Linked DNA regions of Caenorhabditis elegans. The protein of the gene in region 2 purifies or fractionates together with the protein of the main gene of each other region. This does not show direct contact. Each region holds a gene or a part of one and is shown on either strand. Other genes may lie near its edges.

The links. The genes of interacting proteins can lie anywhere in the genome.
Region 1: the proteins of rpn-6.1 (region 2) and prdx-3 fractionate together in Caenorhabditis elegans (co-fractionation; one large-scale study listed by BioGRID). This does not show direct contact.

What each region holds. Positions count from the first base shown.
Region 1 is NC_003281.10:4,405,532-4,409,113, forward strand, and holds prdx-3 (putative peroxiredoxin prdx-3), read left to right. Parts: upstream 1-1,912; coding exon 1,913-2,071; intron 2,072-2,117; coding exon 2,118-2,549; intron 2,550-2,727; coding exon 2,728-2,817; 3' UTR 2,818-2,903; downstream 2,904-3,582. Other genes in the region: snfc-5 (SWI/SNF Subunit INI1 DNA binding domain-containing protein), read left to right, coding at 1-134, 179-361, 410-545; RNA-binding protein rnp-4, read left to right, coding at 787-861, 912-1,157, 1,465-1,572; gpch-1 (G patch domain-containing protein 1 homolog), read left to right, coding at 3,034-3,091, 3,136-3,582. UniProt on the Caenorhabditis elegans protein: Thiol-specific peroxidase that catalyzes the reduction of hydrogen peroxide and organic hydroperoxides to water and alcohols, respectively.
Region 2 is NC_003281.10:6,958,581-6,963,909, forward strand, and holds rpn-6.1 (putative 26S proteasome regulatory subunit rpn-6.1), read right to left. Parts: upstream 3,422-5,329; 5' UTR 3,374-3,421; coding exon 3,328-3,373; intron 2,361-3,327; coding exon 2,268-2,360; intron 2,218-2,267; coding exon 1,994-2,217; intron 1,949-1,993; coding exon 1,819-1,948; intron 1,768-1,818; coding exon 1,439-1,767; intron 1,385-1,438; coding exon 1,079-1,384; intron 1,000-1,078; coding exon 811-999; 3' UTR 530-810; downstream 1-529. Other genes in the region: F57B9.1 (Putative pyridoxamine 5'-phosphate oxidase), read left to right, coding at 3,798-3,825, 3,870-4,035, 4,089-4,242, 4,293-4,625. UniProt on the Caenorhabditis elegans protein: Component of the lid subcomplex of the 26S proteasome, a multiprotein complex involved in the ATP-dependent degradation of ubiquitinated proteins. In the complex, rpn-6.1 is required for proteasome assembly.

The DNA.
Region 1 (3,582 bases), 2.6 Mb from region 2:
ATTACTGCAGCAATTAATCAGCAGCTCGAAGCTTCTACAGAAGCGCCACCATTGGATGTGAACATTTGTGATCAGAGAGCCGTTCTCAAGTTGAATATTAATGTTGGAAACCAGAGTTTGGTTGATCAATTCGAGTATGTTGGAAATGCTAAAGACTGACAATTCATTTTAACTTCAGGTGGGATATGTCGGATCCTAATAACAGCCCGGAAGAGTTTTCACGAAACATCTGCAAAGAGCTTGGCCTCGGTGGTGAATTTATGTCAGGAATTGCATATTCAATTCGCGGACAGTTACAATGGAATCAAAGAACATATGCGTTTTCAGAAAGCCCACTGGCCACTGTTGATTGCCCGTTCAGGTAAATTTGATATGAAATAATGAATTTTTGCAAACCAATGCTATTCAGAACATCATCTGAAGTCGAATCTTGGGGTCCATTCCTCGAAACTTTAACCGACGCTGAAATCGAAAAGAAGATGCGTGATCAAGACAGAAACACGAGAAGAATGCGTCGTCTTGTTGGCGGTGGATTCAACTATTGAAGTATCTACTGATCTCTACGAAATCAACCTGTATTTAACGAATTTTAACCATTTTATCTCAATATTTTTAATGTGCACTTTCTTTTAATTTATTCTTTCCTCGATCTTTTCTCTACATTTTCTCGTGTAAACTGCTCTTTCCAATAGGAACTTGTGGCGGTTTTCAAACTGAATGATCTAACTGAAAATATAAATAAATAAAATTTCAGAGCCCGATCGTCTCAATCGCTTGAAGAGAAAAATGAGCGACAACGAAGTAGAGATGGAGGATGTGGTGGCCAACGCCGAGAGATCAAGAGGTCGAGGACTTGCGCAGGTAAATTTTGTCGAATTTTGTAATCAATAATCAATAATATATTTTTCTAGAGTCGCAATCGCGAGAGGATCACCTACGACGTGGTCGATGAAGAGTCGTCTGCCACAAGCGGAGCACCACAAAGATCCGTTGAAGGATGGATTGTCTTCGTGACAAACATTCACGAAGAGGCAACAGAAGATGATGTTCATGACAAGTTTTCCGAGTACGGAAAAATTAAGAACATTCATTTGAATCTCGACAGACGAACCGGTTTTTTGAAGGGATACGCACTGGTGGAGTACGAAACGCAGAAGGTAATATTTTAGCAGTCGTCGTTTCTATCGAAATCATTTACTATATATAAAGCGCTTATTCTGTGTGTCCATAGTTTGTAGTCTATGTAGTCTTTGTAGTCTGTGAAGTTTTGGCTTCTGTGGGGATAGTGAGTTGGGGTTAGTGTAGGGATATAGTCGGGGTACTGTAGTGGTACAATAGTGGTACGGTAGGAATACTGTAGGGTTACGGTAGTTTCAGAAAAATTAGTTTTCAGCCCCAGAAGTGGGGGGCCGCGCCGGAGGTGCGGTCCACGGCTGGTATCAATATAAATTATTTATTTTCCAGGAAGCCAACGAAGCTATTGATCAGAGCAACGATACAGATCTTCTCGGCCAGAATGTCAAAGTCGATTGGTGCTTCGTCAAGGGAAAGAAGACTTCTGGAAAGCGCTGAAAACCACGTACTTAATTGTCCTCTCCAATCCACGTTTTATGTTTTTTTACACGTCACTGTTAAGTTTTTCCTTTTCTATTTATTTTTTGTCCTCTTTCCCAATTTACCATTCGAAATTTTAAATATCTATTTGGTCTCAACTCGCTCGCTCTTCTCAATTTTGCGATTTTTGTTATCTATGTGACACATGCAATAACAGTGAATAAAATGACCATTTTTCAATTATCTGCTGTTGCTATTTTCTTTTTATCGTTAACCAGTTTGGAACGATTTGATATCTTCAATTGTTTCGTAGATCAAATTCTGGAAAAAAAGATTTCTGAATATCTGAGTTTTGCAGATGTTTTCTTCTGCTGTTCGAGCTCTTTGCCGCACGGTTCCTACTGTTGCCACCCGCCAGTTGAGCACATCTCGTGCTCTTTTGTCACTTCGTCCACTTGGACCAAAAAATACTGTCCCAGCTTTCAAAGGAACTGCTGTCGTTGATGGAGACTTCAAGGTTAAAAATAACAAATATATATATTTTTTTCAAAAATTAATTCCAGGTGATTTCTGATCAAGACTACAAAGGAAAATGGCTCGTCATGTTCTTCTATCCACTTGACTTCACCTTTGTATGCCCAACTGAAATCATCGCATACGGAGATCGTGCAAACGAGTTCCGTTCTCTTGGAGCTGAAGTTGTCGCGTGCTCGTGTGATTCTCACTTCTCTCACTTGGCCTGGGTTAACACTCCACGCAAGGACGGAGGACTCGGTGATATGGACATCCCTTTGCTCGCTGATTTCAACAAGAAGATCGCCGACTCGTTCGGTGTGCTCGACAAGGAATCCGGACTCTCATACCGTGGACTTTTCCTCATTGATCCATCTGGAACTGTCCGTCACACTACTTGTAACGATCTTCCAGTTGGAAGATCTGTTGATGAGACTTTGAGAGTGCTCAAGGCATTCCAATTCTCTGATAAGCACGGAGAGGTGAATTTTGAAATTTACAAAAAATTTAATTTCTAGCAAAAAAAATGCAATGTTTTTTTTCCGAAACTTTGGCCCGCCATAAAAATATTTAAATTTTTGTTGAAAAGGAAATCGGTCGTTTCGGGCTAGTTTTAGTCCATTAAAACAAATTTCGACGAATAAAAAATTAATTTTTCAGGTTTGCCCAGCTGATTGGCATGAGGATTCTCCAACCATCAAGCCAGGAGTCGCTACCAGCAAGGAATACTTCAACAAGGTCAACAAGTGATCACACAGAAACAGAACAATTATTTTTATTCTTTGTATTTATCATATTGATGATTTAGTTTGTCGGTTTAAATAAATAGGTGTCATTCAGCTCGAGTTTTTTGAAATTAATTTTGGAAAATATACGGTTTCAGAAAAATCCATTAAAATATTGATTTTTGTTTCCTAAAAAGTTTTGGAAAAAAATGTGAATTTCATTTCAGATTTTTCTAAATAAATGAACAGGAAAAAATTAGCAGCATATGGTCAGGAATTCGAAGATGATGACGAAGAAGGTCTGCAATTTTACAGTTTTCAGGAAAAAAATAAATAATTTCAGGAAGCTCTGTATCAAAAAAGCCAACTCAAATCCACGAAGAGATAGCAACAGATGAAAAAGGAAAACGGAGATTCCATGGAGCCTTCACTGGAGGATTTTCAGCTGGTTATTGGAATACAGTTGGATCAAAGCAAGGATGGGTTCCTCAAGTGTTCTCATCATCTCGGAATGAACGTGGAGAACAAATAAAACAAAGAGCTGAAGATTTTATGGATGCAGAAGATCTTGGAGAATATGGAATAGGGAATCGATCGATAAAACAGACTGCGGCATTTGGTGAAGGAGCTGGACAGAAAAGGAAAATGGCTTGGGAACGGGATACGACAAGTATTTCAACGATAACTCAGATGTTTGAGGATGTTGTGAAGCCTGTTAGTAATTCGATAGGAGTACGGATGCTCCGATCAATGGGATGGAGAGAAGGACGAGGCATCGGATTGGCAAATG
Region 2 (5,329 bases):
CAGAAAGGGTGGTGGTCTTTTTCTGTAAATTCGACGTTTTCTGCCCGCTTTTTCGTTATTTTAAAGACTTGTACATCCGATAGATCGATTGCGCCATTTTCGACGTATTCCTCCGTGTATAGAAATCTTTTTAAATTGTGTGAAAACATTTAAAATCGCGCTAGATGTCTTTGTCTATTTATCGTTCCCATAACCTTTTTTCAATTTTGCGTCCTTGTTATCTGATATCATTACGATTTGTAGAGGTTTCTCTTTCATTCCCCTTTTACCAATTCGCAATAAAGAACGCGTCATTTGATATACTGAATTTCCAAATTTTTATTAACATCACAGATTTGGATATTACGTAATCATCAGAAAGATATAATTTCTACATTTGTAGCGCGTAATATCTCATAGCGACTTTCTACCGTATAATTGAACTGAAAAATAATTAGTACGGTAGAAAGTCGCTAGAAGATATTTCGCGCCACATAAATAGGAACTCTTTTAACGGTTTTGCAAAGACTTTCTATATACTGAAACAATTGTGCAACTTAAATTTATTGAACAACGTCGGGTTCGGGGGATATTTAAACGTTTACAAAATAATGCAGAATGGATAGTTTGATGCTTCCAGAGGAGGAGAAAAGTGAAAGGTCTAGGTTAAAAAAGAGGGAGTCGTCAATTATAAAAAAACATAATAAATTTTCAAAAGGAGAACGGAGGACTGAACCGTGAGGGAAAATCGAAGAAAATTTAGAAAATGGGAAAAGTCGAGATATTGTACAAAAACAAGGCAGAACAAAAAATGAAGATTCGAAGAAATCATCAGTTAATTTTCGAAGCATTACTATAGAGTGCATCGACAACCTCTCCCATTGCATGAATTGTATCCAGAGCAGTTTGGTACGCCTCATCGGGAACAGCAATTTCAAATACAATAAGCATTCCCTCGCCTTGATCAAGAGATCCCGAAAGTTTTTGATCGAGAATCATTTGGGACAACTTCTTTTCGACCTGAAAGTTTTATAAGTTTGTGTAAAAATTAACAACTTTTTTGCATTTATATTTAAAAAACAATATTTTTGGTTCTTACCTTTGATCTATCAATTCCAATCTGTTGAGCAACATGTTCAATTTGAACGAATGAGTATGGCTCAATAATACGGCACAGATCTTTTTCAAGCATTCGTTCACTCAAAGAATGGAAATGTTTTCGGACAACTGGATCCATTTGAAGTTCCTGTGGGAAAGAACCGAATGCAACTTGGAAATCCTTAAGAGATCTCTTTTGTGCAGCTGCGGCGATCGCCTTCATCGCATCCAAATCAGAACCATTGTATTTAAGAGCAAGTTTTGCGGACAGAAGACTGTTCACCTCATCTGGAAGGTCAAGCATCACCTGAAAAATTTAATATAGGATTTAAATATAATAGTAATTATTTTTGAGTATTACCTTGCACAGAAGCATATACTTAAGAGCGGTGAGGGCGGACACTTTTTCATCAACCGAATCGTATCCCTCAAATGCTTCGTAAAAGTATGAGAAAGCTGTCTTGAAGTCCTTCTCGTCGGCAGCGTGAAGAATTCCCGATTGAAGATCGAGAGCTGCTTGCATGCGAGGATTCACATAGATTGCGTTGGCAGTTGTACGAGCACCAGTGAGAGAAGCACGAGCACGACCAATATTGGAAAGATTATAGTACGCTTTGCTTTCCTCAAGTTCGACTTCCACGAGAACGTCCTTATCGTCGACTTTTTTCAGTTCACGAATCAAATCGGCAGCTGAAAAGTAGATTATCAGTTATTTTCAAATATTACAGCGAAATATATTACCAAGTGGAAGAGCCTGAGTGTATCTTTGAAGATCATTATAGAGGCGAACAAGACGAGCAGTGAGTGTTTGACGGAGGAAAGTGCGATTTTGCTCGGTGGCCCATTGAATACATTCTTTAACGAGTCCAACCTGAAAATAGTTGGGTTTATATTTGAAGCTTATTATTCTGCTCACCTTAATATCTCCATCTTGATCATCAATTTTAAGACATAGATCAACAAGATCTCTGACAAGTTTTGCAGCCTTTGCCTTTCCCAATGACACCAAAAATGGCCTCGTTTGTTCAATCATATTTCGGAGCTCTTCAGTTTGCTTATTTTGAGCCAAAATATTTCCCAATTCCATGATCGAATCTTCTTTCTTCTTGATATCATCGTCCCCAGATGCTGGTGATTTTACTTCAATTTGGGACAAATTGGAAAATTCTGAAATATGGAAAAGGACTCACCGAGATTGGTGAGGTGACGAATGACGTTTTGGTCGTTTTGATGTGGAAGTGAAGTCATTGTATCCATAATGGTTCCTCCAGACATTTCAGGTGCTGAAATTAAGATTTTAATTGCAGTAAAAAGTATTGAATTTTATGGGGTTATTCAAGTAATGTAGCAAAATGTATTAAAATACATTTGTGACGTCACAAATGTATTTAAATACATGTTTTTGTTTACTTGAATACAGCTGTGACGTAACTTTTCTACACTTTTTAATTTTCCGACACTACTTGAATAACCCCATTAAAAATGAAATAACGGAATGGAAATTGTCGGAGCCTCAGAAATCAATAAGTGCTTGCGGAAAACACACCAACTGATTATATCATTTTAAAATATGATAATTATCATTTAATTGATCAATTATCAAAATATAAACGGATAAAACATTAGAAAACTGGTAAGAAACAGAGAGTAAGACAATGACGATGACAATTCCCGCCAGCGTATTTTTCCCGGTGTGGTACGGTACACAAATGGTGTTTGCGGACTTGAAGGTGACGCGAAAATGCACAGAACAGAAAATTCAACAAAATGTTGTTTAAAATACAAATAAAGCTTATTTTTTTCGGGTTGATTAAAAAAATTCGAGTTTATTAAAAATTTACTTTCTCGTAACAATATGTTCTTCGTTGTGGTTAAATTGCACTGATAAAGACCAATAAGGTCAAGCCGCCAGTTTAACTGAAAACGGGGAGCCCTGAAAATAAAGAGTTGTTTTCGAACACCAGCATCGGGGAGCTGACTATGAGCAAATAGCGGGCTCGTATGTAAAAGAGCGGTTAGCACGTGAATTTTTGAGAGTCCTCTTGGGGGAAAAGTGGTGAATTTTAAAATGCTGTGTGGAGATCCAAAAAAAAATCAATGCAGGCATGCATGAAAAACAGGTTGATCAAAAACTTATTCTTTTTTGGAATACAAAATTGACTTTAAAACACCAAGTGCAAATAAATAATATTGAATTAACTCTTTTTCACTTTCAAGAGGTAAAGTTCAGTTTTTCAATAAAAAACGTACCTTTTCCAATATTATTAGTGTCTTCTCGTGAACTCGTTTCTCTCATTAGGACGAAAAGTTGTGTCAATTAAAATAATTTTTTGAAGCAGCTTCGAGGATGTCAAAACTTCAATGTAGATTTCTTTCATATATTTCTGAGCAGCTGACTCTCATTTTCAACTAAAAAACAACTAGTTATTTGGCACATGTTCTGGGTCTCGCCACGACTTATCCCCAAGATCCAATACATTCGTTTCAGAGAAATCTCACTTGATCCCTCGAAATGTTTGTCGTTCCTCGTCGTCTGTCATCTTTTTTATCACTAGGTAATTGATAAATTAAATGATTGTATCATCTCACACTCTAACCGTCTGGTGTCTTTTCATCTCACACGATATATGTATTTCTCTTATCATCTGTTTCTATTTCCTACGGTCATTCGGTCATATTCAGTTCACGAATATCGTCACTTGGCACGTAGATCATACGTTATGGAGACACCATCTATTGATATTCAAAGTGAGTTTATAATAATTTTTTACCAATAATTCTTGATTTTTCAGACATTCGGGCAAAATATCTAAACTCTCATGATCCATATCTACTCGAATCAAAGTTACCAACCACGTCACCATTCGAACTTTTTGATATCTGGTTTCGTAACGTCGCTTCACAATCTGACTTAACATTCGAAGAAATCAATGCAGTATCCTTATCCACCGTCGGAAAGTGAGCATATTACATTCAAAATGGAGAAAAAAACCTAGAAAGTATTAATTCAGAGATCTTCGTCCATCATCCAGAATGGTTCTTCTGAAAGCGTACACACCAACTGGCTTCTCGTTTTACACAAATTATACTAGCCGCAAAGGAAATCAATTGGAAGAGAATCCGAATGCCGCGATGCTCTTTTATTGGCCTAAAGTCAATCGTCAGGTATAATTTTCAACTGCTGAAAATTTGAAATCGAGATTATTTAATTTCAGATTCGAGTTGAAGGTGTTGTTGAGAAGCTTCCAGATGAGATGGCCGTCGCTTATTGGAATTCTAGACCAGTAGCAAGTCGAATCGGATCAAAATCAAGTGATCAATCAAAAGTGGTTCCCGATAGAGAATTCTTAGAATCCAAAAAAGTTGCACTGACAGAGTTATCTGTACGGGAAGGAGCTCAAGCAATCACGAAACCAGAATCCTGGGGTGGATATCATTTGATTCCTCGATATTTTGAATTCTGGCAAGGACAATCGGATCGTCTTCACGATAGAATAGTATTCGAAAGAGATGTTGATGTGTGGCTTCTCAAGAGGCTTTCACCATAATTCCATTCACTTCTATAGTTAAAGTTCGTGTAGATAAAAATTAAAAATATTTTCCTTGAGAAATACGTCGTATTTATTTATGAATTAGACCATAAAATTTTTTCTTACCAACGGAATTACTTCAACAAAAAATTACAAGTTAAAATGAATCAAATTAATCACAATGTATCCTGTTATATTCTTAATCACTTGTGAATTAGTTCTCGAATTATAATTTAAAGAATATGTATTTGATTCTTTAATGATCATTTTCATTTCCGAGTTATTTCAAATCAAAATGTCAATTGAAAATTTCAATTTGAAATAATAGCCCATAGAAAGGTAGGCTATCATTTTCCGAGGTTTGAATAACTTCAAGAACACCGCTTTTGAAGTTGTATTTTTTAGAGAAGAATATAGAATTAAAAATGCTAATAAATTGCAAAATTGTATTATTTACAGAAACAAAAATAAATGGTACATGATATTTTGAGAAAAACAGGGGAATGTTTCAAGAAATAATATTGGGACGAATATTGAGATTACACGAGTATTTAAAATACATGAATTGACTCGCAAAATGGGGAATTGATATACAAAGTGATAGCTTAAGTGAACTTGAGATAATCTGGTACGTAAGTAAATATATAATAATTATTATGCTGAAAGTGATAATTTTCTGGTTTTCTACGAACTTTTACAGTAAGCTTATCTGGAAGGCCTTC